Notamacropus eugenii: one gene and its partners. The protein of the gene in region 1 purifies or fractionates together with the protein of each later gene. This does not show direct contact. Links are inferred from orthologs where the notes say so. Each region holds a gene or a part of one and is shown in the gene's direction. Other genes may lie near its edges.

Region 1 (7,972 bases):
ACCTGGTGCTTTGCTTCCCAGATAGCCCCGCTCTTTCTTCTCTTGGTCCACGCTACTTATTTATATGCTGTGCTTTCAATCTATCCTGGATGGAGGGAGTATATAGATTTTTGTGTATTTTCTTTTATCATTGTTCCCTTTTTTAAGGGCTTTATTGGGGACTCCTCTTCTAGGCCCTAAGTGGCCACTGTCTTCACACATATTCTTTGAACAAGAGGGTGGGGCCAGTGGGAGTTAGAACTATGACTTGGGAGTTTTGAAGCCTGGGTCCAAGCTTCAGCTCCATTCTCAGCTTGTGTGTGTGAGTGAGCTTGATTAAATTCTTGCCTACACATTGAGAACCATAGGAAACCTTCAATCTCAGTGGCACTGAGCACTTTGGGAATAGTCTATGTGGTAGAGATTCCCTTTGACAACCAAGGATGGTAAAGCTGAGCAGCCCTTTCTTTCCTCTGTTTTCCTAGGCTTGCGCTGACATATGAAAACCTCTTTGGCCCACTTCTGACAATCAAGTAAGTGCTGGGGTGGCAGGGGGGTGGGGAGGAGGTTAAAGGGGTTGGTGAAGAAAGCTTTGGGCAGTCTTTGGAGTTTCCACTGATCATCTGACTTTCTCTCCCAGGTTTATTCTGAGCAGCCATTTCTACCCTGTTTCAGCCCGAAGCTGGTTCATCATGGATCGACTAGAGATCCACAACAACAACTCGGTTGTGGTCTTCAATTCCTCACATGTCACAGCACCTAGCATCTATTCCTTTCACTGCCAGTATGTTAGCACTGAACGTTCAAAAGCAGGTCTCCTAATATCTTCACCTGGTTCCTCTGCCTGGCATGTGACTTTCCAGAATTTCCAGGTAGGATGAAAGGAGCACAGGAGGTGGGGAGTACATGTTCTGTTTCGGTGAGGGAGGAATTACTAACATTCCCAGTTGAAGAAAGCCCCCAGAGGGGAAGGAATCAAGGGCACAAATAGAAGGATTGGCTTTGGTGAGAAGGGCCGTGTTTTCATCACAGACTGGGCCAAGGGGAGGGAGATTAGGGAGGGTGATGAGGGGATTTGAGTATGTGTGGAATTAAGGAGTATAAGGAAGTTCACAATGGATGGCATCGATTTTCACTTTAAAAATGATGCATGAGGTGCTCTGCTAAGGGATGAAAGATGGAGAAAATGGTGGAAGTGAGTCAGTTTAGGGAGAATCAAAGGAGTGCTGTTTGGTAGGGAGAACTCAACTGAAATTCAAGAACGTGAAACTGAAGTAAACTCAGCCCTGTTAGGATTGGAGAGAGTAGATGGGGGTGGGATGGAAGAGTGAGATTAATCTAGGGTTGGAATTTGGAAAGTCATGATAGTGATAGGACAAGGAAGGGGTAAGAGATTTGAGGGCAGAGAGGAACACAGTTAAATTGAATAAATGAGGGAAGAAGGTGAGACCAGAACAGAGGTAGATGGTGATGCGGTGAGAAAGCCGGAAGAAATGGAATGCCCTGAAATCAAGTTGAAGATGAAGGCTAGATAAAGGGAGGGGTTGTAAGTAAGGTACAAGAAGAGGAGCTTGTAGGCTGAGAGGAATTTGAGTCCTAGATCATTAAATAGAACATTTAGGAATGAGAGAGAGAGGTGTGTGTGTAGTACAAGTTATCACGGAAGCTAATGTCGCATGAAGACTTTAAGCTTATAAAATCAGAGTTTAGGGTGGAGAGGAAGGCTGAACTCTAGGAAAGAAGAGGGAGGTATAGAGTTAGGGTGGTGTAGCTTCATGGAGAACCTCAAAGAGAGACAGATTGGTAAATGATGGCCACAGTGGGACAGAATTTAGCTGAGCAAGGAGTGTTCATACGTTTCTTCCTGACTATCCATCAAATAGCCTAATTAAGATACTCAGGGATATTAAAAACCTCTCCAGTTCTTGGGTCTACCCACCTTCCTACCTACTCCAGAAACATTCTGCTGGACCCTGGCTCTGGTGGGTGGGATAGGAGAGGAGAGGGCGATTTCCCCTGCACAATTCCTTTTGGATTTCATAGACCAGACCAAACCAGTGTTTGGTTTCTTGTCTTAATTTTCTTTCTTCCTTTTCAGATTCAGGCCTTTAACTTATCTGGTGGAAACTTCTCCTATGCCAGTGACTGTGCCAGCTTCTTCTCCCCTGGCATCTGGATGGGGCTAGTCTCCTCTCTCATCATGCTTTTCATCTTCACCTACGGTCTGCACATGATCCTCAACCTCAAGACCATGGATCGCTTTGATGATCACAAGGGGAGCACTCTCTCTGTGCCCCTGATGGAGTGACCCCTTTAGTCACATGGGGGGGCCAGAAGGGTTGGAGGTGGAGTTTTGTGTTGACTTTGCCTCCTCCCCTTGGAAGGGCTGCCAGGCTACTACTCATTTGTGCTTCCTTAGTAGCTAGGCCTCCCTACCCCTATTTCCTCTTGCTCCACCCCCAATTATCCCAGAACCTGTGGTTACCCTACCCTGTCCGTGGAAACAAAAAAGTGTCTGCCTCTGACAAATACCCTCAGTGAAAACCTTGTAGGCAGTGCACCAATGGAGGGGGTGGGGGGGTGGGGAAGGAGTATCCAGGCCACTTTCCTTCCTGCTGGCTTCCAATCCTTATTTATTCTCCCTAAATCCCTGCCCTCAGGTCTAGCTGCTTCATTGTGTGAGATGTATTCTGGGGATTAGTCAAAATGTAGTCCGGAGGTTGGAAGGTAACTCCAAGTGGGGTGGGGGTGTGAACTTGAGACTTGTTACATTGTCTTGTTTGCTTCTTGTTTTGTCTTTTTCTTTTTTGGTGATGCTAAAGTTGGATGTGATAAGAAATTGAAATAAAATTTTAACTAAGCCTCCAAGACAGTGTGGTCATTTTGTATTAAGCAGGGCTTTGCTTTAAAAGGACAGAGATCAGGGAGTTCACCAGTGGTTATGTGTGGATTTCTTCCTCCTCTCCCTCTATCCACATAGGGTATCAGCCTTTTCTGCAGGTACTCTGCCCAAAGGAATATAAATTTTGATAGCTGAAACTAGCAAGATACCTTGGGGTTTGTGGGCTAGATTTCTTTTTTTATGGACCATACCTTAAACCCAAATCACTTTGGTTCTCATTAATTGGCCAACAATAGGTCCCAGCCCAAGCCTCTTTTGGTCATTGGGCTTTGATGCAGTGTATATAGTAATTGTTTCTGTTTTGGCCAGAAACCGTGAAGCTCTTCCCTTCCCTGAGTGATTTTTGGTTTGGTTTGGTTTTGACTAAGTGAAAGAGGCCATTCTTGGCCTCATTTGTTACCTAGCCTTAATCACTAAATGAGTGTTACCTCAGTCAAACTTCGACCTGGGAAAGGCCTTAGCTTCAAAAGGCCAAAGTCTCCCACTGTGTCTCCAGCCCTGATTTATACCTTGCCACTCTACCCAGATGGCTATGGAGGAGATTGAGGCTAGTGACTTTGTACAGCCCTCCCACACTTAAATCCAAGTCATGACATCACCTTCCTGATGTCATGGTCCCCTTTGAGAACGAAGGACAAACAAAGAAGGGAACTCATGGTGGGGAGAGGGTGTGGGCTTGAAACTTGATTATTTTGTCTTCTAGTTTTTTGGTGGGGCTAAAATTGGATGTGAAAAGAAATTGAAATAACATGTTAACTAAGCCTCCATGACAGCTTTGCTTCAAGAGGACAGATCATTTGGCCTAGGCATTGCTGAGGAAGTCACCAGTGTGTTATCCCTTGTTGTTCAGTGTCTGACTTTTCACCATCCCATTTGGGGTTTTCTTGGCAAAGATATTGGATTGGTTTGCCATTTCCTTCTCCAGCTCATTGTATAGATGAAGAACTGAAGCAAACAGTGACTTGCCCAGGGTCACACCACCAGTATCTGAGACTGGATTTGACATCAGGAAGATATATTTCTGTTTCCAAGCTCAGTGCTCTATCCATTGCACCACTTAGTTGCCCACAGGTTACAGGAGTGGAGGCAAAACAAGGGTTCTTCACCTGGGGTCATTGATACAATTCTGGAAGCCTTTTAAAATTGGATGGGATAAAAACAATTATATTTATTAGCTATAATGGGTTTCTTTTGTAATATTTTGTGCATTTCAAACCATGATTCCGAGGATTCCAGATGCAAAGATAGAGAACCTGTGCCACCTCTCCCATTCCTGGGAAGAGAGGCAGGGCAAATAGTTCATTGATGGGGTTTGGGCATGAAGATTGGGGGTGTTAGGGAGGCTGAAAGGAGAATTTCTTGGCCCTTCAAAGCTCCCTTTGGCTGGTAGGTCTGCAGCCTAGATTTGCCCCTTAGGGATTTGAGGGGACAGGATGGGAAAAGACAAAGCTGAGTCATGGGAGGAGGGTGCGGGGTGCTGGAGATAGCGGCTATAACCTCTCCTGCAGAAGACTGAGGCTTCTGTGAATATGCCCCACCCAGGCCTGGAGCAGCCTCCCCTCCCCCGCCTGGCACCTGCGCCCCCAAGAGATTCGCGCCCCCCATCTGCATGCTGTGATGGGGACAAGGGCGCTTTCCTTGACCCTACTCTTGACAGCCTGTTAGAGGCGGGGTCTTCTCCCCCGAGGCGTTCCCTCATTTTCATCTCCCCCCCTCCCCCCCTCCCCAGCGCAGTTCCTTCTCTCGGGTTCTCCCTCCTGGGGACAGCCCCTCCCCACAGCATCTCCGTGGGTAGGAAGATGCGGGCAGAAGATGCGGGAAGGGGTGCGGATGGATCCCTCTCTTGGTCTCCTCACGGGCCTCTGTCCCTCCCCTCCCCCTCCCTCTCAATGAAGGAATTCCCACAGTCGAGGCAGGCACATCGTAGCCCCTTGCCCCAGCATTCTGCAAGTCTCTCGGCCACGTTCGTAGTCGGGCGTGGTCCACGGGGTGACAGGGCGGCGTCGGCAGCGCGGAAGAGTCGGGACTCTTTGGCACAGCGGAGGGAGCTGGAGGAAAGGCGGTGCTGAGTCCGCCATCTTTGGTCCATTTCAGCGGCGGCGGTGGCAGCAGCAGCAGCAGCGGCAGCAGCGGCGTCGGCGAAGCCGGAAAGCGGAGACCAGCCGAGGCCTTCGAGCAGAACCATGGACGAGGAGTACGACGTGATCGTGCTGGGCACGGGCCTCACGGTGAGTAGGGACCGACAGGAACCCCGACGAGAATGCAGCACCCCGCCCCCCCAACCTAAAAGGTTCCCCCCTTCTTCCCCTCCCCCCACCTTTTCAACCCATCCCCATCATGACCTTTCTTCCCCTCTGTGTGTGGCCCCAGTGGCGTGGGATCCCAATATGCCTTCCTTTCAGTCTCCTCCCAATCAGGGCTACCCTCTTTAACGCCAACCCTAAGATTCACAGATAGTCCTCCCCGTTTTCTTGGAGCCCTACCCACAGGACCACAGAGTATCCATACCCCATCACCACAATCCCCAAGATGATAAGGGTATATCAAACCCTCTGGACGGTAGTATCCTAACCACAGGATAGGGGACTGAAATAATCCTTTCCCTTCCTCTGGGTGGGGGTGAGAGACAGGACAGGCATGGTGTGCTCATTAACCCTGTAATGGATAAACGCATCTGACGTGTAATAGTTGTGTGACCCTGGTTAGTCATTTTCCTCGGCCTTCTATTCATTATTTTCCTCCTTCTTCGGTATTTTCCCCATCTGTAAAATTAGTACCTCCCAGCTCTAGATCTAGTCACATACAAGATGGTGGCCTGAAGGCATGGGCAGGGTTGCTGTGTCCCTACCACATAAAGATGCGCTGATCTTGTGGGAGATTACTTGAGAGTGGGAGAAATGGAGTTCTCCGTGTGCCTCAAGACCAGGAAGAGAAGGCCTAGGGTAGGGCCCTTGCGATACGGCGTTTCTCTGCTTCCAATTGCACCTGTGCTCTGTGTAGCTGTGTTTGTCGACATTCTTATTGCTTCCTGGAATAGGATGTCAGGGTCAGGAAAAGGGGGAGTTGTTTCTCCACTGCTTGCCTTCACTTTGGAGCCCAAATGGCCTTCCCCTTAATAGCTGCGCCATGAAGAGTTTAGCAGAAGGATGGAAACCTACCTCTCCAACCTTTTGTGTGTCTGGTTGGGAGAAGGGGAGGGGCTCTCTTCCGCCTCTCCTCCCCTTCAGTCTTAAGGTAAAGGAATCTGCTGAGATTTCTATTCTGGTTTGGGGAGAGGGTCTATTCACATTCTTTTTCCTGTCTTCCTTGCCGGTCTTCCCCTCCAGGAATGTATTCTCTCTGGCATCATGTCTGTGAACGGGAAGAAAGTGTTGCACATGGATCGCAATCCTTACTATGGGGGTGAAAGCTCCTCTATCACACCCCTGGAAGAGGTGAGGTGACCTGCTCCATTTTTCCCAGGCTCCATTGTCCTTTATAGTCTGACTTCCACGCCTGATCAGCTCTTGGAAGTCTCTACAGGCAGGTTTTGGAGGTGAGGTCAACATTGATTGAATCCTCCCTTTTCCTCTTCTCTGTCTCTCCCTGCTTGTAGCTGTTCAAACGGTTTGACCTGCCTGAAGGACCTCCTGAAAGCTTGGGCAGGGGTCGAGACTGGAATGTTGACTTGATCCCCAAATTCCTCATGGCCAATGGTGAGTGGGAGGATATAGCTGGTGGTAGGTGATATAGGTAGGATGTGGGGGGGGGGGGGGGCAGAATTTGGGGAAAGGGCTTGAGGACCATCAAGTGAATGGGAAAGGGTTATACATATGGAGATGTCTCTCTTCCTCTCCCCATACTACCCACAGGCCAGTTGGTGAAGATGTTGCTGTACACCGAAGTGACTCGTTACCTAGACTTCAAAGTGGTGGAAGGCAGCTTTGTCTACAAGGGGGGCAAGATCTACAAGGTGCCATCTACTGAGACTGAGGCCTTGGCCTCCAGTGAGTGTCACCATCGTTTTTTATTCCAGTTATCAGGACTGAAGGAGAGAGCGTCACACCTCTGAGACTGGTTTCATGATACTGGTGGGGAAAGTGAATTGTCCAGGACACTGGGGAGAAGCCAGGGGCATATTAGGGAGTCATAGGCAGAGCTTGCCCATTGACACAACTCAGGTTTAGATGTGAATGCTTTCCTGGGCCGTTAAGCCAGCAGTATCAGAAGCACACTGTATACAGAATAAATACAAGGGAATTTAGGGCAGAAGGCTAGCCCTTAGAATTTGGGAGGGATCAGGAAAGGTTATATGTGTGTAAAGGCACAAGGATACAAAAGATGGCCGTGAGGAGACCAGTTTGGAGTTCTCAGCATTGTTAGTTGATTGATGAGGTAAACTGGGGCCAAGCCATATAGGACTTGAAAGCCAAACTTGTATTCTAGAGGCAACGGGGAAGCCATTGCAGTTCGGCAGGGGAATGATATGGTCAGACCTTGCTTAATTAAGATTATCTTGGCCAAGAGACTGAGTAGGAGGCTATCATCTAGATGAGGTGATGAGGGCCTAGACGTGAGAGGGTTATAGGGCTAGAAACAGCAAGTTTAGGCCAGTGATTGGCTTTGTGAGGTAATGAAGAGTGAGAATTGGAGATCATAGTGTCTTTGAAGACTTTGAAGAGGATAGGGGTGCCCTAGACAGAAACAGAAATGACCAAGTAATTCCGGGGAGGGGGGACAGAGGTCTAATAGTTTGTTAACAGTGGAATTGAGGGTTCCAGAGGTCGTGATGAAAGAGGGGAAGAGAGAGATAGGGTTAGAGTTGATTTAATTATCAATACAGGTCCCTGACCCAGCATATATAAGGTTCAAGGCAGGGACTCAGTTTGTCATAGAAGTACTAGGTGTTTGTAAGGCACTCTCTCCTTTGATCCCTAGTCAGGTCAGCTGTGCCCAACATTAGGACTCACTGCAGTGTTGAGTAGACTACCTCCCATGGTAGTGGGGAAGGGGAGGAGTTATAAATTAGGAAACTAAGGCCTGGAAATCACACAGTGACTAGCAGAATAAGACTGGCCCTGGAGCCTTCTGCTTTTTAGCAGTGTTGTTTTT
Region 2 (7,843 bases), on another chromosome or scaffold:
CTGCCCATCAGAGGGCAAAGGTGACACATGAAGAAAATGACAAATGTTGGATGGGCCGCAAGAAGACAGGCACACTGATGCACTGTTACTGAAGCTGTGAATTGACCCAGCCATTCTGGAAGCAATTTGGAGTTATGCCCATAAAGATATTAAGCCGGCCATATCCTTTGACCTAGCTATGTGACTACTGGGCTATACCCTAAGGAAATTAAAGCAAGAAGAAAAGATCTTATATGTATAAAGATATTTATAGCAACCCTTCTCATGGCGAAGAACTGGAAAATAAGAAGGTTCCCATCAACTGGGGAATGGCTAAGCAAAATATGAATATGTTAGGATACTACTGTAATATAAGAAATGATGGATGAGAGTTTCAGAGGAACCTAGGACGACTTGTACAAAATGATGAAGAAAGAAATGAACATAAATAGAACATAATCACACATTATAGAGAAAAACAATTGTGAAAGACTTTAGAACCCTAATCAATGCAAAGAGAAACCACAGGTTCAAAGGGCTAAAGATGAAAGATGCCATTCGTCTCCTGCCAGAGAGGTGATGGACTTAAAATGTAGGTAAGACATTTTTGACATGAATAATGTGGGAGTTTCTTTTGTTGGAATATATTATGCATTTGTTCTAAGAGTATTATATTTAATTTTTTAATTGCTCAGTGAGAGGAAGGAGATCTCTATGTCTATCTATCTATCTATCTATCTATCTATCTATCTATCTATCTATCACCTATCTACCTATCTGTCTATCAATCTATCCTCTCCTGGATTTATTCCAACTTATTATTATCCTAAAATAGTACCTAGAACTGAACACAGTATTTGATGCAAGTGAAGATAAAGAATCAACTTGAAGAGTAGGTATTGTGATTTTGGTTTGCTGAAAAGTTCTCTCCCCTTCTTTACCTCTAAACAGTTCTCCCACCTGGTTGCTGAAATTCTACCATTACATATGTGTTCGTTTGGGTCAATCTGTCTTCCTCTTTAAAAAAAATAATTCCTCTAGAAGCAGGATAACCTATGAAATCATTGACACCTTCTTCAATAATTCAATAGAAATATCTCATTGATGGAAGTATTGGTATTGGATCTGTGGTACAGACCACAAAACATCTGTGACTTCTGGTCCTGTGGAATTCTTATCCACATTCTTCCATGATCCTTCCTCAGAGATTCCTGTCAATATGCTGAACACATCCTGTAAGTCTTTCTACATTTAGATGGTACAATATAGAACTCAGATGATCTATCTATTATCCTGAACTAGAACAACATGACCAGCATGGCTTCTTTTATAGATATTTCTCCTTGATGACATTCCTTATGCTTCTTTTAAAAAAGAAATACTTTACTCATGCTCCTTTTTCTTTCATTACTGTGACTTCCCAATTATTACTCCCTCATACAACATGCCCCCCCCATTAGAATCATCTCTTGTAACAAAAATTTAATTAAACAAAAGTAATTAACACAATGGCAATGTCTGAAAAATATATGCCTTTTTCTATACTTATAGTCCACCACCTTCTTGACAGAAGATGGGAAGCATACTGCTCCAACTTTCAAGTCATGGTGTGTATCATAATTCTCAAATCTTTTATTGATGTTTTCCCCCCTCATAAAGCAAAGAAAAGCCATGAAAGTGAAAATTATTCTCTATTAGAAAGCCTGATGTGAGACCCAAGTGAACCACATCATCCCAACAGCATTGATAGATGAAATTAGGAGAATATTAAACCAATAGAAAATGGAAGAAATCTGCCAATGTTTCTATAACACCATCTTTTTCATCAATGACAGAGAATCACCATATTTGTTCCCTATCATCTTGGTGCCTGGTACAATATATAAAAAGTTGAAATTGCACTTTAGAAAATAAAGTTGAAAAGATCAACTAGGCCAGAAGAAGTACACACAAAACAAATTCATGCTGGAAGTAATAGAATCTTGACAGCAATAAGAAATTGTTTTATAAGATATCTCAGGGAGGAGAAGATACCAAAAGAATGGGAATAAAAGTCATGGACATTATTATTTCTCCAAAATAGGTGAATGAAAAAACATCAATAACTCCTGACCTATATTCTTACTTTCTCATCTTTATAAAATGTTTATGAGAATGAGGACCATATATCAAGGTTATTCTTGATGAAAATATGCAAGAGGAACAGTCAGCCTTTCACAAATGGTAGTCTGCAAGAGAACACGTTACAGTAGCATAAGTGACAGAAAGGGTCAAAATATACAAGGTTCTGCTACGTTTATTGTTCGTTGGTTACAATAAAAATTGCTCTATACTAGAGCAAAACTTAGCCTTAAAGAATTTCCTTCAACCAAAAATCTCTCATGTGTATATTATGGTCATAAAAGATTCCTTCATAAATGCCACCACAGACATAACTTTGTTCCCTAACTCTCTTGTATGTCAAGAGAGGCATAGCACAGGAAAATGTATACTCACCAGTTTCTCACCACTGTCACAGGCAATACTTAGCTCTATGTCCAAACAGAAGAGGGATTCCATGTGGACAGCGAATTCCTCCAGACACTTCTGTTTGCAGATGATATCAAGCTTCAGATCATCAGAGGGGCTTTCTCAAAATGTATTCAAAGGATATTAGCCTTAAACTAAATGAGTCTAGTGCTTAAAACACTCTCCGGCACATAGTAGGTTCTTAATAAATGATTGCTGACAAAGTTTAGTGAGTGAAAAATGAACAGAACAGAGCTATTAACAATCCAAGCTGCTTCCTGACACAAAGAGCAATCATTATAGAATAAACAAGCAAACTACACGGTCTGTTGGCGATAGTACATGATTGCCAATATTGGACCAGCATGAACTCCAAAGAATCAAAATTTCATTTCACTATAGAGCTAGAGAGCTGCTTGGTGTATGCAAGTGGGTTGAAACCTATTTCCAAAGACAATCTCTGTTCAAGTGCCATGAGGGATATTATTGGAAAAATGTGTGATCAGACAAGAAGGCAGGATGTTCATGTGTGGCATACAACAGATGAACAGTTCTCCATTGTTACCCAAGAAATGTGAAAAAAAAAAGTCTAGAGCAGTTCTTAACCTGAATGTCCACAAACTTAATTTTTGAAAACATTTTGATAACTATATTTCCATAGAATTGGTTTTCTTGGTAATCCTATGCATTTTATTTTATGCATTTAAAAACATCTCATTCTGAGAAGGGATATGCTTTACCAGACTGCCCAAGAATTCTGTAACACAAAGCAGGTTCAAAACACATGAAGACCTACAGCACATTAAGGGAATTCTTTTAGGAGAATCTTTGGGAGAAATGGACTAGAACTGTATCAAGGTGAGAAGGCACAGAAGGTGAGAGACCTGCTGTGACAGAGGGAATGCCTATATTGATGACATCACAGATCCACTGAAATATAAAAGTGTTTCTTCGGCAATAAGAGGGTCTAGGGACACTATTGAAAGCATTGTGTACTTTTGAGGAGGCACTAAGCACAGGACTCAGGAGGAGGGAGATGGGTGGCAATGTTATTTCATCAAAGCCAACACTTGTCAGGGCACTGTTCTCAAGTCCATCTTGGATGTTGCTTGGTACCTCACAGTGAGCTGATGAAAGATTGTTCTCAATGACCTTTCTCTAGCTCACTGATCTCTATGTTATATTCTGGAAAGAACGCTGAGAAAGAACAGGCCAAGCACTCTAAGATGGGAGAAAATTCTGCCAGAGGAGTCTCCTCTTCCTTTTGTTAATTCCGTCAGCCCAAACCTGGATTGTTTTGCTGGAAGCTTCATGCTCCAGAGAAAGCAGGACGTCCAAGAACTGGGTGGTGAGGAGATATTCAGGTCATAGGGGGAAGTATCTTCTGGGGAATGATGGCCCATCAGTCACTAGAACGGACAATCGAAGAAGCCATTTTAATCTCCACTGGGGACCTTGAAAGACAAACACCATTTCTTCTCTCTAGGCAGGGTTAGGAACATTCTTGTCTGGCAGTAAGAGAAAGAGGACTAGATCATCTTTGGAGCTCTCAGACCCTGGACTCTGAGATTCAAGAACTCCAACGCAAATTATTTTCTGAAAGATGGTAGAATTTTGTGTGAGCCACATCGTCAGGTGGTGGAGTTGAGTACTCTTGGATTTATCTACCTTTTAGCAATCACTCCCTCTCCATCCCCTACTTTTCATGTTTCCAAGTGATTATATGAGATTTAGATTTTAAAAATTGCTTCTGGTTTTGGAGCTGTTGTGCAGCATACTTCTAACTAGTGACCTTATCTTTCCTCAGCATTGTGTGGAGAAAAGGGTGGAGGCTGGAGATGTCTAGAGTGGAAGGAATAACCTCTCCCCTTCAGTCTCTCTCTCTCTCTCTCTCTCTCTCTCTCTCTCTCTCTCTCTCTCTCTCTCTCTCTCTCTCTCTCTCACTCCATTTTCTCTCCTAGATGGACTCAGCTGTGGTGTATATTGGTGTTTAATTCATGGGCTTCTTCCCCTTTGATCTGGAGTAATGCAGATAGATTTAGCTTGACATTGTAGGAAATAAATATCTCTGTCCCACTCTCTTAGCCCTTTCTGGGCTCAAAGGGGGAGGGTGGGAGCGAGGCGGTAAGGGGTGAAGGATCAGGGCACTCTGCTCGCCCCGTCGTCCAGGGCGCGTTGCCTCCTCTAGCAGGGGCGGCAGCAGGGGCGGCTGGTGAGACAGTGACCCCAGCCATCCCCCGCTCCTTTCAGATGCATTAGGCAAAGCCTCCCTGCAGCACTGCATTGGCTTGTCGGTCCTGCATGACATCAGAGAGGATGGGAGAGAGCCGACAGGGCGCAGGCGCTGGAGGTGGGGAGGGGAGAAGCTCCAGCCCCCGGCTCGCCGAGATCACACCGCCTCAGCATCCCCAGCCCTGTGCTCAGACGGTCGGCGCTCCGACACCTCGCGCCCTCCCTCCAGCTCTGCAGCCCGCGCGGGCGGCATCCTGAGTCGTCCTCCGCATTCTCCTCCACCCCTTCCTCCGCAGCGCAGCCCGAGTCAGGGGACCGGGGGAAGCTGCAGAGCCGGCGACGCTTGCATCCAGCCCTTCCCCCTTCTGGATCGTAGCCTGCCTCTCTTCCCTCCTCCTCCTCATCCCTTTCCTCCTCTTCACAGTCCTCCCCTCTCTATTCCTCCTCTCGCTCCTACTCCTTCTCCTCCTTTTCCCACACCCCAGAGCCAACACCATGTCCGCAGGAGGAGATTTTGGGAACCCATTGAGAAAATTCAAATTGGTCTTCCTGGGGGAGCAAAGCGGTGAGTAGCTGGTTTATTTGCCAGGGTTGGAGGCTAAGTCTGGTGCCACTTTGGATTCTCTCCCACTCCCTTCCATCCCTCAACCTCCCTGCAGTTGTAGTGCACACCTTCCCTTCATCCTCGCCCCCCCCATCCCCACCCCACACCTTACCCTGCCCCCCCCCCCGCCCACACACAAAGGAAATAAAACACTTAGAGTGGCCCCTGGGCACCAGGGTGGCCGTGGAGGTGGGGGCAGACGGAGGGAGGGCAGGAAGATGCTTCAGCCGGGCGACTGATTGAGGCTGGAGTCTGGAAATGGGCTCCGGATCTGGCGATCGCTTTGCATAGTGCGGCAGCTAGTGCTGCACGCAATACTGGGTGGGCTCTGCTCGGACCGGGGAGGGAGTGGGCTTGGGGCAGGCAGCCCGATTGCCTTTTATTCCTACACCAGGACTTGGGCTCTGGGGTGCACCCCGTCTGCTTTGGGGGGAAGGTGGGGGAGGGCGGCGTGTTGGAGACTTAGATGGTTGGAACTGTGCCCCTACGTGGAACGGTGGGCAGTGTGCGAGTGGCACCGCCGGGATCTCAAGCGTGGCTGCTTCTGGGCATGGGAGAAAGCTGCAGAAGGCAGAAGAAGAATATGAACACCCCCCCCCCAAGTCAAAATTGGTTTCAGGGAAAGAAAAGGGGGGGCCACGAAACTTGCTAATGCTTCTGCTCTTCCAGGAAGATTGGAGAGACTGGGGTTCGAGGAAGTAGCTTCAATATTAATGCCTTGCCTCTCACCTCAAACTGGGCATAGAAGATTCTAGTATTGGCCATCTCTTCTAGTCTTGTGTTTATTTGCTAGGGAGGGGGTCCTCAGGTGATGACGGTGAGACTGATTGTTTCTTACCTCTCAGGCTTCTCGCTAGAGGTGCCCCGAGGAAGACTGGAGGAGGAGAGGGATTTTTTTGGGGGGGTGGGGGGACATCAGGTGGAGAAAGTCAGACTACTCCCAAGAGGTTTGTGCCGCTTTGGTTCTGCAAAGAAAGGAGAGAAGAGACACACCCTGGTCCTTCCACCAAGTGTGTGAACGTGTCATTCTTTCCTGCCATCTCTCATCATAAATAACAGAGAAAAAAAAATCTCCAGGGGAGGGGGCAGGGAGGAAGAGGGAGAAGGAGAAGGAAGCAGCCAGTCTACCAGACCTGACTAGGGATGACGGGCGGAACCTGCTGCTTCTCTTTCCTGCTATGCCACAGGAGGGGCTGCCCCTCTATTTGGCTCTTGGTCTCTAAGAGGCAATTTTCTGGTGGAGAATGACCAGGGAGGTTTCAGAAGTCACAGGCCAAGAGAAAGGGAGCAAGAGGTAGTGGGGGTAGGGGTAGGAGAGGAATGTGTAGAAAGAGCACTGACCTGAGATTTCGGGGGGCCCTTAGGTTCTAGTCCTAGGCCCTACTAGCTGTGTGACCTTGGGTAACTTAACCCTTCTGGGCCTCTTTCCTCATCTGTAAATTTCAGAGGTTAAGCTAGTTTTTCCTTCTAGGTTTCCTTCCATCTCTGATCTTTGATGATACTTACTGAAGTGGAGCTATGGGTAGGATGAGTGTTTAGTTTGGTTTTCAATGTGGTTCCTCAATCTGAGAAAGGAGGTGTATCTGCATTTACATGGAATAGGTCACACTCCTGGCCAAGATAGGGCCTGTGATCCCCTTTCAGCTAAGAGCATCCATGAACTATGTGAAAGGTGTGTCTCTCATGCCCAGCCTCTCCCAGAACTCAACATCTTATCCTTCTAGACTGATCCAGATTTCTTCTTCATAGCTACGTTGTTTGATATCTTGTGCCTGTGTGAGGGACCAAGCACATTGACAGCTCTGAGAGTGGGTGTGGCGATCTGCGGCCTTAGGGCTGAGAGACTGCTCTCCTCCCTGGCTCCTGGATGCATTTAAACGTCTGAGCACAGGCACGGGGCTGAAACTCAGGAGACTGTTTCCTTTCATTAGACTTGGGTGCTTTCTCCTTGGGCCTAACTTGACATTTCTAACTTGCCCCAAGGGACAGGAGCTCTGTGAGTGGAATTTTTCATCATCCCCCAGACAACATTTTCACTGAGTTGGGCATTCTTATTCTCTCGCTGGAAGTAAATGCATAGGTTCTCTCCAGCTTGAGACCTGCTCTATTCATCTGAGATCCCAGGTCTAGGCTTTCGGAGGGAGGGGAATTTCCATTTGTGTTAGACATATATATAAGGGAGACAATGCACCGCCTGAGTGAGATATTTGAAATCAAGGAATGTGGGTTCAAATCCTTACCCAACTACCTTTTATGACCTTGGGTAAGTCAACCTTCCTGGACTTCAGTTTTCTTATCTGTAAAATGTAGGAGTTAAACTAAGGAGCCTCTAAGGTTCCTTCCATCTCTAAATATGGCTCTATGACCATATTTAGCCATAGGGCACCAGAAATAGCCTAAGGGATAAGGTGTTTTAGTCTGAGTTTGAAAGAAAATCTTCATCTTATTTCGCTAGTCCATAGGGTGGGATGAAGCTTTGTAAACTACTTAGATCATAGAATATTGAAGAGTTTAAAATGC
Region 3 (7,092 bases), on another chromosome or scaffold:
CCCCAGAACTGTAAGTGATGTATGACACTATTTCTATTTTTATAGGAGCTATTAGTTAGCAGTGACCTCAGGCAGTAAGGAGAGGCAGAGAAGTCTGGCTCTGGTGAAGTAGAATGAGTCAGGCAAGGCGCTGGGTCAGTGGTATTTCCTTAGGGAAGGAAGGAGCTCTGACCGGGGAAGCACCTCTCACGTAAGGGGCAGAAAGCTGGGGACAATTTCTGAAAAGGGCAGAGAGGGATGACTTAACAATTTTGTCTACAACCACAAGGTCATACCACTTGTGGATGAGGATGAGCCACAGGGTGCACAAGATACAGTTTCCTGCCTTGTCTCCTCCTTCTACAACCCAGCTTTTATACAAGTGCCAAATAATCTCCCTAATGCATAAGTCTGACTACATCACTTTCTCTTGCTCAAAAACCTTTGATGACTCCCTGTTCCCTGATGTGCCTCCTCCTCTCCCCCATAAAATACCAACTCATTAGCCTGCCCTTCCAGGCCCTCCACAATCTGATTCCAAACTACCTTTCCAGTACAGTCTCATTACTCTCCTTTCAGTTACAAACTCTACACTACGTTTCTTTCCATTGTACATTTGCACAAACTTTTACGCAGGCCCAGATGCCTTCTCTCCTCACAGGCGTGTCTTTGAACGCTGGTCCTTCCTCAAGGTTCAGCTCTTTGACGTCTTCCCTGTTATTTGCCTTCTCCAATTTTCTGGAGCACTTTACCTTTTCCCGATCTCTTCTTTGCTCCTACCACACTCTACTTTGCACATGTGCATATGCACCCCACTAAGTCCTCCTCCAACTTCTAATTCCTTATTACTTGTGTAATTAATTTAACCTTTCTCGGTCTGTTTTCTCATGTGTAAAATAAGGGGGCAGAACTAGTTGGCCTGGAGGTTTAAAAGAACCTAGAATACCTAGGTGCTCTCTCTTAGTCCCATCTCAGAATTCTGACGCTTATCCTGGAATGGAGGTAGCTTTAGGTTCTACATTCTCTGCCAAGAGAGAACAAACTCTAGCAGGTCCTACCAGGCTACAGAAGCTTCTGAGATATACCTACTGATGGTTGTTGCCTGAAAACTAGCTCAGCTGACCCTGGAGAGACTCATCAGGTGGAGTTAGGGTTCTGAAAGTTTGGCTACTAAAGTGTAGAATGATTGCAATCCGTATTAGTGGGGTGAGTACTCACATTGTTTAAATGCTATATAAAGCCTAAATCCTTTAGGTTACCAAAAAATCTGGTAACCTAGCACTAAAGAGCTGGTGCTAGAAAGGACCTTTGAGGTTATGGAGTGAGTAGCAAAGCCAAGACTGAGGCCAGGTCCTGATTCCAAATTCACTGCTTTTTACAAGGCATGTCACCTCTCAGATAACAGTGGCTTGTGTTTCTATCCCTCTTGGAGGTTGTAAACTTCCTCATAACCCAGAGAAAGTAAGACAAGTATAATTATTACTTTAAAGACTTTTATTTATATCTTTTGTTTTTACATCATCTAGATTTCCCTATATTTCTCCTCCTTCCCAGAGAGTCATTCATTAAAGAATTTTTAAAAAGTGAAAAACAAATGCATGAAAATTCATGGTACTATATTTAATGTTCCAAACCTATCGACACCTTCCCTCCCCACCCTCCGAGCAAAAGAGCGGGAAGGTTTCTTCTCGTATCTCCTCTTTTGGGCTGAGCTGCTTCTTTGTAGCTCAGCAATATTCAATTCTATTGAATTCTATTTTGTGGGTATCATTTTTGTTTACCTTGTAGACATTGTGCATATTGTTTCCTTAGCTCTGGTTACTTCACTGTGCATCAGTTCATGTAAATCTTTCCACACTTTTTATTCATCACAAAATGGATATATACTTTGTTTCTAATTCTTTGCTACCCCTAAAAGTGTTACTATTTTGGTGTATGAAATATGAAGTCTTTTAACAGGCAATAATTTCTGTATCAAAACGCAGAGTCGCTTTAGTCACTTTATTTGCACCATTCCAATTTCCTTTTCAGAAAGGTTGCGCTAATTCACGTCTCCATCAACAACGGAATAGTGCTCTTATCTTTACAAACACTCTAAAACAGACAATTCCCATCTTTCCTCACCTTTGTAGGCCAAGTATTACTTCCATCTTAGAGATGAGGAAAATAAGGCCCAGAGAAGTGAGACAAAAAAGTCTAAAAACTGCCTCAAGCAGATTTTGAAGTTTCAGGCATAGAGTACTGGGGGTGGGGTCAGGAAGACCTGAGTTCAAATCCTGCCTTGGACACTTAATAGCTGTGTGATCCTGGGCAAGTCACTCAACTGGTTTGCCTAAGTTTCCTCATTTGTAAAATGGGGATAAGCACTATTTGCTTCAGAGTGGCAAAGCCACATAAACTTTATGGGGACAGAGGGGCCTGGTCACTCCTGGGCAGTAACCCCCAAGGTTTTGTGAGTATCAAATGAGATACTTGTAAAGTGCTTACCACTGCGCCTGCCACACAGTAGGCACTATATAAACGCTAGTTATTATTTTAGGATGAGAATCGTGCCAATTCTCCTTTATCAATCAAAATTTGTTAAGCAGGCAGTGTCCTCAATGCTGTGAAAACAAAGAAAATGAAATAATCTCTCTTCTCTAGGTGCTTTTATGCTAGCAGAGGAAACTCTTATCTAAGTAGTCACACACATATATGCAGTCACAAGCAGTATATATGCGCATGTAAAAAAGAGACCAAATGAGAGGTTACCCAGGGAGGGAGGGTGGCCAGTGCTGGACCTGCATCTTCTGGCCATGGTCCACGGGAGAGGCCACTCTGGCTGAGGCATGGAGCAGGGGAAAGGGAGTTTCAGGCCTGGGTGGTAACAACCCTGAAGCTGGTGGTATGCCCAGACTCATGTCAGGGGCAGAGAGCAGGCCTGGAATTCACAGTTCTAGCCTATTTTCTCTGATTCTGAACTAAGATCCCACCGTCTTTGGCCTCTTTTTTCTAGTTAATTAACAATCACTTATTAATTAATAAGATTTGATAATCCATAAGTTATTAATTAAGTAATTAGTAAAAGAAGCCAGTGGTGCTCTACTAAGCCAAAGACCTGTCCGCGGCGTCTTTTTCTGAGTAATTAACAATCATTAATTAATGAATAAGATCTGATAATCAATAACAACCAGTTATTAATTAATCAGTAAAAGAAGACAGGGGCGCTCTCCCAAGTCAAAGTCCCATCTCCTGCATACAGCAGGCGCTTAATAAAGGTTACCTAGCTGATCCTAAGCCAGGGCTCGCCCCCGCTCACCCGGCACCTTTCCGAAACACTGGGTAGGGGAGAGGGGAAGGAAGTGGAGCCGCAAGCGCTGGGTTCGAGTCCTCCCTCGGTCCAGGGCGGCGGCAGACGGGTCGGCCCCACTCCAGGTTCCGCGGCCTCTCAAACTCTCGGGGTCCGCAAAGAGGGGACACTGCGGCACCTACCTCGTGGGGTGGCCGGGACGCTGCAGGGAGGAGAGGAGCTACAGAGGTGCCTGCTATCGGCGCACGAGGAAGCCCTCCGGCCCTTCCCGCCCGCGGCCACCGCGTCTGGCCTCGGCCCGGAGGTGGGTACTAGCCCGAAGGGAGGAAGAGCAGCGCGCGAAAGGCCTCCTCTCCACGCCTGCGCACCGCGCGAGGGCGGTGCGATGGGCCCGTCACGCATGCGCAGTAACGGAGCAGCCCGTCCTAGAGGCGGTGGCTGCGGCTGCGGCTGCGCAGAGCCCGTCGCAGGGAGTGAGGGGAGCGGGGGAGGCGGGGCGGCGGCGTTAGCGGCAGCGGTGGCGGCGTCCGTTCGCCCAGAGCCGGACGGACCGAGAGAGGAGGGTGGGGGTGGGTGGGTGGGGGAAAGTCAGGCGCCTGCGCAAAAGCGAGTGAGGGCGGGATTGTGCCTGGAGCGCGTGCGCAGAAGTGGGCGAGGGCGGGGCGGTGCCGCAGGCGCGTGCGCAGTGGCGACGAACGGGGCGGGGCGGGAAGCCGGGAGGCTAGGAGGGAGGGCGTGGGGGCGGGGGGGGCGAGGGGCGGAGGGAGGCGTTTCTGTCAGTTCCGGCTGTTTGTTCGGGAAGTGGATCCGCCGGGGCCCGGAGCTGCCGCGGCTCGCCAGGCCCACCCGCCCGCCGCCCGCCGCCCGCCCCCGCCCTGCGGCCCTCCCTCCCTCCCTTCCTCCCTCCCTCCTCTCCGGCCCGCCCGGCCTGGCCCGGCCCGGCCCGCCGCCCGCCATGGCCCGGGACTACGACCATCTCTTCAAGCTGCTCATCATCGGCGACAGCGGTGAGCGAGGGGCCAGGGCGGCGGCCGGGCCCGGACCCCTGGGCGGGAGGGAGGGAGGGCGGTGCCCGGGGGAGGGGACGGTCGGGGGAGGGGCGCGCGGCCGAGCGGGGCCGGGGCGCCGGCCCCCGTGACCCCGTCCGCAGGGGAGGGCAGAGGCCGTGGGAAGCCGTGACCTCGGCCTGGGCTGGGGGGCGGGGCGGGTGACCCCGGGTTGGGGAGCGGTTGCGGAGGCCCGTGACCCCTTTCCGGAGAGGAGGGTGGAAGAGGGCAGGGGTCGTTGGGGCGGCGACCCCGGCCCGGAAAGGGAGGCTGCGGGCAGGGATTGGGGATTGGGGCGCGGTGAGGATCGGGCACGATTTGGGGGGAGCAGGGGGGTGTGTGTGTCTGTCGGGGCTCCAGTGTTGGCGCTGTGGATGGGGAGGGGGGAGGAGAGCCCTGGGGGGTCGTCCCCGACTTGTGACCTTGCTGAAGGCGCTTTTCCCACGCCCTTCCCTCCCTCCCTCCTCGCCCCCCTCCCCCAAAGGAAGCAGGGGAGGTGGGCTGAGCACCACACACCAAGGACCCGAGCGATCATGCAGTCACTCAGGAAACTGAGGCCGGGAGGAGCGATTTGTCCAGTTTGCAAGTGACAAGAGTGGGATTTGAACCCAGGCCCCGGGCTCCAAGTGTAGCCACTTTCCCGGGCACTTGTGCAGAGATGGAGCCCTGCTGGGTTTCTGTTTCAGCGGGGCAGGTTCCTCTGAGGGCTGCAGAGGGGCCCTTCGTGTGGTTCGGGTGGGGAGCCCAAGGGTGAAAAGGGTCACGGGGTGACGGGGTCAGAAGGGCTGAGGAGGGCAGTGTGGCAGGTGTTCGAGGATTAGGAGGAAAGGGGAGGAGGCTTGGGAGCATGGCAGCTCTAGGCGATGGTCAGGGCCCAGTGTGGAAGAGGCTGTCATGTGATTGGTGGCAGAAGCAAGGTTGAAAGTGGAGCATATTGGGTGTTATAAAAAGCTTATGTTGGGGATGGTGCCGGGAGGATGAAAGGATTTAACAAAATTGGTTATAGACTGAGGCAGTAGGGGACAAGGGAGTAAGTCTGTTGTGGGGAGGGAGCCGGGAGAGCAGTGCTACCTGGTTGTTGGGATGGATATGGGCTGGTGCAGTGGTTTGGATAGGTCAAACAGTGGTGAGCTTTTATGGGCACAGTTGGAAAGTGAAAGGCAAGATCTCTTTGAGGTTTAGGGGATTAAAAAGATAGAGGCTGCTGGGGCTGAGGGATCCTTTCCTCGGTTTCTCTTTTTTCCTTCCTGAGTAGAATATAATTATGCTGCCTTTCTTTTGAAGATGAGTGGCCTTTAGAATTTATTTGTATACTCAGTGCACCATATGCCTTTTCAGGGGTTATATTTTAGTTCCAGATGGGGCAAAGGAATGGGGAAAGGCAGAGTTCTACGACTGAAGGTGATTTCCCTTTCCAAAGAATTAGTGTACTCAGTTGTTGTGGTTATGGGCCTTGTTCCTCAGGAGGACATCTGGATTTTGAGTGGAAAGGCTTGTTGTACTTTGAGATCTTAAAATGAAAAGCTGACTCGTAAATCTGATTCCCCCCCCTTTCTAAAGTCCAGGAAGTAGTTTTGACCTTGTTTCCCACAATACTTCTTGACATTGTGTGTGGTGTGTGGTAGGCCTCTTTAGGTCATGATTTATGTAGTTTTGCTCATATAACAGTCTATGAACATTTTCTGGCCAAGGTGTGTGGAAGTGGAAGTAAGAGAAGTTCTGGTCTGGCTTTGTGTGTAGTGACTTGTGTTGTGGGGCCTCTGGTGCTCCTCAGCCCTGAGCATGTTTGGGAGGGGAGGCTGAATGTGAGTAGCCTAACTTCACACATTATTCTGGTCTGAGAGGCCCTAAATTGTCTGCAGAGTTGGGGCTGGGAGCATTAACTGACCAGGGAGCTCATTCCCTCCACACAGACTTAAGCTCTTCATGCCTCAAGTGCAGTACTGCTCCTTTGAGGGTGTCTTAGTTTAGACTCTGAATTAAGAATGCTACATTTGGGATTTACCAGGGCATGGTGGCCACTGACCACTCCCATCCTTCAATTTGCAGTGTAGATTAACTGCTCAAACCACAGGAAAGCATCAACTGCCAAGATGTGTAGTCTCAGAAGCTTGCTCTGCTAATGTCAGTTGTGAGGGCTATGGTCAGTTGGTTTCACACCAGCTGTTGTTGACCTTTTATTTTCTCTGTGGCTAAGGTAAATTGGTACCTTCACTTCCTTCCTTTGGCAGGGAGCTGTTGGATAAATGGTGTTTACTCGAGGCCTTCCTTTGAGGAGTTCAGGAGGAGCTCTCTCTCCCAGTAGAGTGCTTTCCTTCCTAATCGAGTCTCCAGTGTGGTGTCAGGAGTAACGATTAACTCCAGGGGCCTCGGGTTTTGTTCTGCTTGTGGCCTCTGCTTTGGCAGTGTGGGGATCATAAGAAAGCTTGGGATCTGGCCATAGTACTGGGATTTTCTGAGAGTCAGACCCTCCTAGCTTCTGCTGAATGAGCTAGCTAGAGATTGTGGGAGAGGGGAGGAAGCTAACAAGACAGCTGGGCCTTGGGCAGAGCCTATTGGGAGACCCAGCCCAGGAGCCTTGCAAGGGCTGCTCACAGCAGGAAACTTCTCCGAGTCTGGGAGGATCTGAGATTTCAACGAGGAAGTGACCAAGCTCTAGGCTTCAGGCCGAAGGGCTGAGCCACAGGTACTCTGGGTGTAGCATTTGAGAGGTTGTTCTTTTCTTCCTTGATTATGCTGGCTAGCACCCCTTTGGGATGCTGGGTCAGTGTGATATTA
Region 4 (7,146 bases), on another chromosome or scaffold:
AGCCCTCCTTCCATTTGCCCTTCCTTCTATCATTCCCCCACCCTCCTACACCCCTGCTTATCCCCTTCTTTCCTGTAATATAAGATAGATTTTCATAGCAAATTGAGTATGCATGTTACTCCCTCCTTAAGTCAAATGTGATGAGAATAAGGTTCACTTTTTCCCCTCTCACCTCCCTTCTCTTCCCTTCCATTGAAAAAGCTTTTTCTTGCTTCTTTTATGTGAGAGATAATTTGCCTCATTCTATTTTTCCCTTTCTCCTCCCAATATATTCCTCTCATACCTTAATTTTATTTTTTTAGATATCATCCCTTCCTATTCAACTTAACCTGTACCCTCTGTCTATATGTATATAATTCCTCCAATTACCCTAGTACTGAGAAAAGTTTCAAGACTTACAAATATTATCTCTCCAGTTCAACTATAGTAAGTCCCTTATGATTTGCCTTTCCTGTTTACCTTTTCATGCTTCTCTTGATTCTTGTGTTTGAAAATCAAATTTTCTATTCAGCTCTGGTATTTTCATCAAGAATGCTTGAAAGTCCTTGATTTTATTGAAAAACCATTTTTTCCCCTGAAGTATTATACTCAGTTTTGCTGGGTAGGTGATTCTTGGTTTTAGTCCTAGTTCCTTTAACTTCTGGAATATCATATTCCAAGTCCTTTGATCCCTTAATGTAGAAGCTGCTAGATCTTTTGTTATCCTGATTGTATTTCCACAACACTTGAATTGTTTCTTTCTAGCTGCTTGCAATATTTTCTCTTTGACCTGGGAGCTCTGGAATTTGTCTACAGTATTCCTAAGAGTTTTCCTTTTGGGATCTTTTTCAGGAGACGATCAGTGCATTCTTTCAATGTTTATTTTACCCTCTGGTTCTAGAATATCAGGGCAGTTTTCCTTGATAATTTCTTGAAAGATGATGTCTAGGCTTTTTTTCTGATCATGGCTTTCAGGTAGTCCCATAATTTTTAAATTGTCTGTCCTGGATCTATTTTCCAGGTCAGTTGTTTTTCCAATGAGATATTTCACATTGTCTGCTATTTTTTCATTCCTCTGGTTTTGTTTTATAATTTCTTGTTTTTTCATAGTCATTAGCTTCCATATGCTCCATTCTAATCTTTAAGGAATTATTTTCTTCAGTGAGCTTTTGGACCTCATTTTCCATCTAGACAATTCTGCTTTATAGGGCATTCTTCTCTTCATTGGCTTTTTGGATCTCTTTTTTCATTTGGGTTGGTCTATTTTTTACAGTGTTATTTTCATCAGCATTTTTTTGGGTCTCCTTAAGCAAGTGGTTGACTCGTTTTTCATAATTTTCTTGCATCACTCTCATTTCTCTTCCCAATTTTTGTTCTACTTCTCTTACTTGATTTTCAAAATTCTTTTTGAGCTCTTCCATGGCCTGAGACCAATTCATATTTTTCTTGGAGGCTTTGGATGGAGGGGTTTTGACTTTACTGTCTTTTGTTTGCATGTTTTGGTCTTCCTTATCACCAAAGTAAGATTCTATAGTCTGATTCTTTTTTCAGTTTTTGCCCATTTCCCCAGCCATTTATTTGACTTTTGAGCTTTTTGTCAAGGTTGATCTCTGCTTCCAGTGGGGGTGGGGGGTGTACTGTCAGTAGCTCGATTCCCCCACAGTCAGTGGGCCTAGAGCTCCAGAAACAGTTGCTGTCTCTGCCCCTACTGCTGGGAGTTCCTCCACCCCCTTCCCTCTCTGCTGCCCTGGGGCTGGGGCCAGATCATTCCACTCTCCCACACTGGTCCTACAGGCTTTCTCTTTTTCCACTGAACTTCCAATTTGTCCTTGGCATTTTGGGGTCTTGAAGTCTGGAAACTGTCACAGATATGAGAGACTCAGTCTCCCCAAGGCCTGCTCAGGTCCTGTCTGTGCCAGCGTGGCCCACACTGCACTGCGTCCTGCCCCCAGAGTGGTGCAATAGACACTTCTCAGCCACCTTCCAGGCTGTCTTGGGCTGGAGATTTGCTTCATTCCATCATTCTGTGGGCTCCGAAGCTCCAGAATTGGTTTAGAGTCAGTTTACTGGTATTTAGCTGGGCTTGGGAGCAGCACTCTAGAAAGTGTGTGCCGTTACTCAACCATCTTGGCTTGGCCCTGTTGTTACACTTATAACACAGAATGCCAGACCTGGAAGGACCCTTAGCCATAGTTGGGAGGGACCTTAGAACACTGAGTATGAGAGCTGTTAGGGACTTCAAAACAGAGAATGTCAGAAGTGAAAGGTGGCTTAGAACATAGAATGTCAGAGCTGGGAGAGACCTTAGAACACAGAATGTCAGAGCTGGGAAGTCCTTTATTTCAGTAATATCCAATTTAAATAGAAACAGGGGGCACACATACATATATGAGGATTTCTACGTGTCCTATATTGACTTAAGTTTTAAAATGTAATGGCATCTGTTTTGTTGTATTTTTATGTATTTTGCTAAGTATTTCCCAATTACATTTTAATGGAACTGTGATAGGCTGCTTGTGGCCTAGGACCTATGTGTTTCGACACCTCAGCTTTAGAACAAAGAATGTCAGAACTAGACCCTCTCATATTACAGAGAAATAAAGTGATGATGTTTGGTGGGGCAGCTATATGGGGAAACAGATAGAGCATTGGCCCTGGAGTCAGGAAGACTCATCTTTGAGGCCTCAGATCTTTACTAGCAGTGCCATCCTGCGCAAATCACTTAAGCCTGTTGGCCTCAGTTTCCTCATCTATAAAATGAGCTGAAGAAGGAAATGGCAAACTGCTCTATAATCTTTGCCCAGAAAACCCCAAATGGGGTCACGATGAATTGGAAAGGACTAAACAATGACAACTATATTGTTGGCACAGCTCTAGGTGCTGGGGGATGCGGTTTAGGGTTGCTGGGAACCCTGAAATGTCAGGGTGCAGAGAGGTGTCTGCCTGGAAAGAATCACACACTCACACCATCTTTTAGTCAAAATGGCAAGGTTTATTGTAACACCAAAAGTGGTGGTGAGATTCTTAGTGAATCTGCAACTTAATGGGGGGTGGGCGGGGAATGATGGTTAGGATAAAAAGGACGGTGAAAGGACAAGGATGGTGTTAGGGAGTAGTCTGAGTGATCTCGCTGAGCTTGGGTGAGCCAGATGCTTTGGTGTAGGCACCAGTGATCTGGGCTACTGAAACGTATCGGAAAATTCAGGGACTGGGTTGCTTCCAAGGGCATGGTCTGTTCCTTTTAGGGGTCCAAGTCCCATCACCCCATCACTGAGGATGCATTAAAAGGCAGTCTCCTCTTTCCGGGAACTCCGTCTGTAAAGGCAGAGACAGCGTGCAAACAATTACGTACAAACGGATTATTTGGACAGTTGTCGGGAACCTGGAGGAGGGGACCGGTGGTAGGGAGACCAGTGGAGGGGTACCAAGAGTCCAGAAGAGGTGGCTGGAGACTGAAATAGTCACTGGGGGTCTACAGCGTTTAGGAGACGGAGAGGCAGGAGAGGCTTGTGAGAAGATGGGGTGGGGGAGTCCCATGGGGAGAGGGACTGATTTTAGGGGCGCTGTGGGGAAGGGCAGCCAGAGGACAGGATGGAGTAGCTATCTCGGTCCAGAATGGGCTGGCTAGCCCAAGTAGAAAGGGAGACCCGGTGGAGCGAGGGATTTACTCTAAAGGAAAGGGTGTGGGGAATGGGATACGTAGAGTGATACCGGCGAATACTGACGTCACGCTAACGTTTGCGAGGCCAGAGCGTAGACATGCGATGCAGCGGAGGGAGGGGGGAGTGGGAGATCCTGGCGCACGTGGCCCCGGGCGCCAGGCCCTGGCTAGGCCTCTGGCGGTAACCGGCGGGGGAAGGGACGCTGCAGCCCTGCTTCTCGGCGGGGCTGGAGTCCACCTGAGATAACGCACGTGTTAAGGCGGTTGGCAAACTTCTGAATGGCAGCATTATTAGGATTATTTCCGGGGGCTGGGCGCAGACGATGGGCGGGTCGGTGGGGGGGGGCGGAGGAGGCGAGCGAGGAATCCGAGGCCCGACTCCCAGACAGCGGGGCTGGAGGTGGGGTGTCCACAGGTGGCACGCCCCCGCCGCCGTTGGAACCGTTCGGACCTCCCGCCGGTCTCGGCCAGGCCCCGCCCTCCCGCCACACTCTTCATGGCCGCCCTGGCGCGCGCCGCCGCCTCTGCCCCCGCCGGCGCTGAGCCGCTGGCTCTGCGTGTGTCCTCTGCCCTCTCCTTTCGCGCTGTCATTGGGCAAATTCACCTCGGTCACCTTCTATTGGCCCGCTGGGTGTGGCGTCAGCTTCTTCCTCCCTTGCTCCTCCTTTCCCTCCGCCCTCCGCCCTCCGCCCCGCCCCCTCCCCACGCCCGTCCACTCCTCCTCCCTTTCTCCTCGCCAGTCCCATTCTCCCCACTTTTCCACTTAGGGTCGGCGTAGGTGGCTGGCCCGGGAGCCAACGCCGAACCTGGGAAACTGGGGAGCAAGCGCGCTCCCGACCACCAGCCCCGCCCGTGCTCGCGCACGCACGCGGCACGTCACGCTGTCGCGCTCGCGCGCCTCAGCGGAGAGGCTCGCGCACTTGAGCAGGTTCGGCTGCGGCGGCGGATCTCCAGGCTCTCTGGGAAAAGGGGGCGAGGAGTGGCTGCGGCGCTGTCCGTCCCTCTGCTCCTCTCCCTCGGGTAGCTTGTGGTGCGGAAGGGCGGCGCCGACCGCCGCTCCTGTCGAGCCGTACGAGGCCGACTCCGACCCCACCCCCATCTCCTGGTCGGTCCGTCCGTCTCCACCCGCATCTTTGCAGGATCCCCCCCGCTTCCTGCCGCTCCTCCGCCCTACGTGTCTGGGCTGCGGGGAGCCCGCGGGGCCTAAGGAGATCGCTGGGTGAGGCGGCGGCCCCGGCTCCATCATGTCTGCCGGAGGGGACTTCGGGAACCCCCTGAGGAAATTCAAGCTGGTGTTCCTGGGGGAGCAGAGCGGTGAGTGCCCCCCGCTCCGGCTGCGCTGCTGCTGCCCCCGCGGCCTCCGGCCGTGCGTCTGCTGCCCGCCCCCCGCCTCTCCCTCCTCCCTTCCCGGCTTCTCCCGGGCCTGAGCTCCGCCTCGGCCCTCCGCTCCCCGACTCCTTCCCCTTCGGGCGCAGACTCCGAGGCCCTACTGTGTGCGGGTGGCTGCCAGGCCCGGGCGCCCCCGCTTCCTCCGAGTGCCGCACTCAGTCCTCCTCGGACCCCTGCCCCGTCCTTCCCCGTCTCTCCTTTCTCGGCCCTTATCGGAGTTCCAGAGTCTAGGTCTCTTCTCTGTCTCTATTTCCCTGGGCCCTCCCCTTGGGCCTGGGAGCCCGGCGCCTTTATGCGACCCGCGGAAGGTGGAGGCTGGTCGGGATCGGGTGGGATCTGGGCGTTGCCCCTTCCTCCCTCGCCCTCCTTTGGCCTTTGGAACTGAGGATCGAGTCGTCCGTGCCTGAGGATGGGGCGGGGGCTGGAACGTCTTTGGATCGCTCTCTCCCCGGGGGGTTGGAGCAAAAATCTCCTGGAATCGGCCGTGATGTCGGGGTTTTTGTAGGCGGCACTGCCCTTGGACGTGGAAGGGTTAGGCAGCGACGTGCTAAACATCTCAGAATTCTTCTCTTGACTTTCCATTTCCTCACTTAGGATTTTTGGGTAGTTTTGATTGCTTCCCCCCCCCTTCTCCCATCGCCGCCTGGTGCCTTGTCATGATCCATTTACTTGGAATTTCTCACCTTTCTTTTTCGCTTTCTCTCCTCCCGACATCAACTAGTGTCTGATTCTCCTACCCACAGGAACCCATGGATAATCATCAGTTATTTCTATTAGAGTGTTTTCCAGTTATAAATATGTTGAGGATTCTTGGGAGAGATGGTTTGGTACAAGTTCTGTTGGGGAAAAAATTAACAGCTAACTAACGTCTTTTTTGAGGGGATAGGAAGGGATGAAGAAGAGTGTCAATGATCTCGTTATTTAAATTTTAAGAAGTGATACTTAGCTGAAATTTTAAGTGGCTTAAGTCTTAAGTATTAATAATTCCACAAATAAGATTCCCTTTTGGTATTTGCCTAGGTTAGTTCTCTGAATTAGGCTACAAAGTTTTAATTTTGTAATGGTTGTCTTTAAGGTTACTATTTGTAGCAATTTGTTGTATGTCAGTTTTATAGCATTGATACCTAGTTATTTATTGGGAGATAAGAAGGATTATATATCACCTATTTCTTCATTAACCAGTTTCTCCCATTTTTATCTTTAAGAGTCAAGTTGTTGGGAAAATTAGTGTTTGCCATAGAAAAAACATGTTAATACTAAATTCAGAAATATAATTTTCGCCTACAAAAACTTCTGTAGCCCCCAAATGGATTAGCATCAGTTGAATAGTATCTGTCAAATTTTTGTACCTCATTCTATGAAACCAGTCCAGACTGTTTTTTCTTCCTTTATGTGCAAATTGTTCTTATGTAGTGAACAGAGAAAATGTTTGGCTTATAAATTTACAGGAAGCAAGTTTAGACTTGTTTTCCAGTGAGTTACCTGGTATTAGTATGTATGAAGTTCCTGATCCTGCCATTTTATAGCATTTTTAGGCTTAGTATGAGTATAAAATAACCTACTCAAGTAAATATTGATGTGTAGACTGTAAAGTGCCTCTTGTGCACTCTGAGGATGCCATTGCTTGCCTCTTGGTGTGATGCAAAGCTATTTAGTTTGCTTGAAAAAGCCATTAATTTATGTCTCTCCAAGGAAAATTTTAGCCTCAAGTGTACCTGTCTTTTTTACTATTAAAATATGAGCAGGTTTCATTTGAATTTTGGGGATGATGCTATTTTGATTCACGCTGCATATTTTAGGGCCTTAAATTCTTCAACTTAGTCTAAATTGATCATATTTTTCTTTGTAGGCTCATGTTTTTTATCTTAAAAAAATTTTAAGTTATGTGTTATTTTGAGGTGAAACTATAGCTGTTTTCAATTTAACAGGAACAATTTGGGTTCTCAAGGCACATTTGCTTTCTTCTCCTCTGTTAGCAAAAGCTTTCTGAATCCATGGTACTATTTTTGTGATGACGAATTACTTTTAAGTCTTAGAATTCCAAAATTCAGTTTCTAGTTATCCTGTTGATACATTATACTAGAGTGTGCTATGTTTCATATCATATAATAGCTCAG

Evidence for each region.
Region 2: the proteins of GDI1 (region 1) and RAB6B purify together in Homo sapiens (co-immunoprecipitation; 3 studies listed by BioGRID and IntAct, counting the BioPlex papers as one, with this or other methods). This does not show direct contact. The link is inferred for Notamacropus eugenii from reciprocal best matches to the Homo sapiens genes GDI1 and RAB6B.
Region 3: the proteins of GDI1 (region 1) and RAB35 purify together in Homo sapiens (affinity purification with mass spectrometry; 3 studies listed by BioGRID and IntAct, counting the BioPlex papers as one, with this or other methods). This does not show direct contact. The link is inferred for Notamacropus eugenii from reciprocal best matches to the Homo sapiens genes GDI1 and RAB35.
Region 4: the proteins of GDI1 (region 1) and RAB6A purify together in Homo sapiens (affinity purification with mass spectrometry; 3 studies listed by BioGRID and IntAct, counting the BioPlex papers as one, with this or other methods). This does not show direct contact. The link is inferred for Notamacropus eugenii from reciprocal best matches to the Homo sapiens genes GDI1 and RAB6A.

The regions. Positions count from the first base shown.
Region 1 is NC_092879.1:9,968,955-9,976,926, forward strand, and holds the start of GDI1 (rab GDP dissociation inhibitor alpha), read left to right. Parts: upstream 1-4,961; 5' UTR 4,962-5,064; coding exon 5,065-5,109; intron 5,110-6,207; coding exon 6,208-6,315; intron 6,316-6,476; coding exon 6,477-6,576; intron 6,577-6,732; coding exon 6,733-6,867; intron 6,868-7,972. Other genes in the region: ATP6AP1 (V-type proton ATPase subunit S1), read left to right, coding at 465-512, 620-851, 2,078-2,287. UniProt on the Homo sapiens protein: Regulates the GDP/GTP exchange reaction of most Rab proteins by inhibiting the dissociation of GDP from them, and the subsequent binding of GTP to them. Promotes the dissociation of GDP-bound Rab proteins from the membrane and inhibits their activation.
Region 2 is NC_092876.1:334,782,278-334,790,120, forward strand, and holds the start of RAB6B (ras-related protein Rab-6B), read left to right. Parts: upstream 1-4,838; 5' UTR 4,839-5,214; coding exon 5,215-5,284; intron 5,285-7,843. UniProt on the Homo sapiens protein: The small GTPases Rab are key regulators of intracellular membrane trafficking, from the formation of transport vesicles to their fusion with membranes. Rabs cycle between active GTP-bound and inactive GDP-bound states.
Region 3 is NC_092875.1:25,154,784-25,161,875, forward strand, and holds the start of RAB35 (ras-related protein Rab-35), read left to right. Parts: upstream 1-4,088; 5' UTR 4,089-4,223; coding exon 4,224-4,275; intron 4,276-7,092. UniProt on the Homo sapiens protein: The small GTPases Rab are key regulators of intracellular membrane trafficking, from the formation of transport vesicles to their fusion with membranes.
Region 4 is NC_092876.1:131,569,952-131,577,097, forward strand, and holds the start of RAB6A (ras-related protein Rab-6A), read left to right. Parts: upstream 1-4,253; 5' UTR 4,254-4,439; coding exon of another isoform or gene 4,440-4,884; coding exon 4,885-4,954; intron 4,955-7,146. Other genes in the region: uncharacterized protein, read right to left, coding at 3,711-4,253, 4,440-4,886. UniProt on the Homo sapiens protein: The small GTPases Rab are key regulators of intracellular membrane trafficking, from the formation of transport vesicles to their fusion with membranes.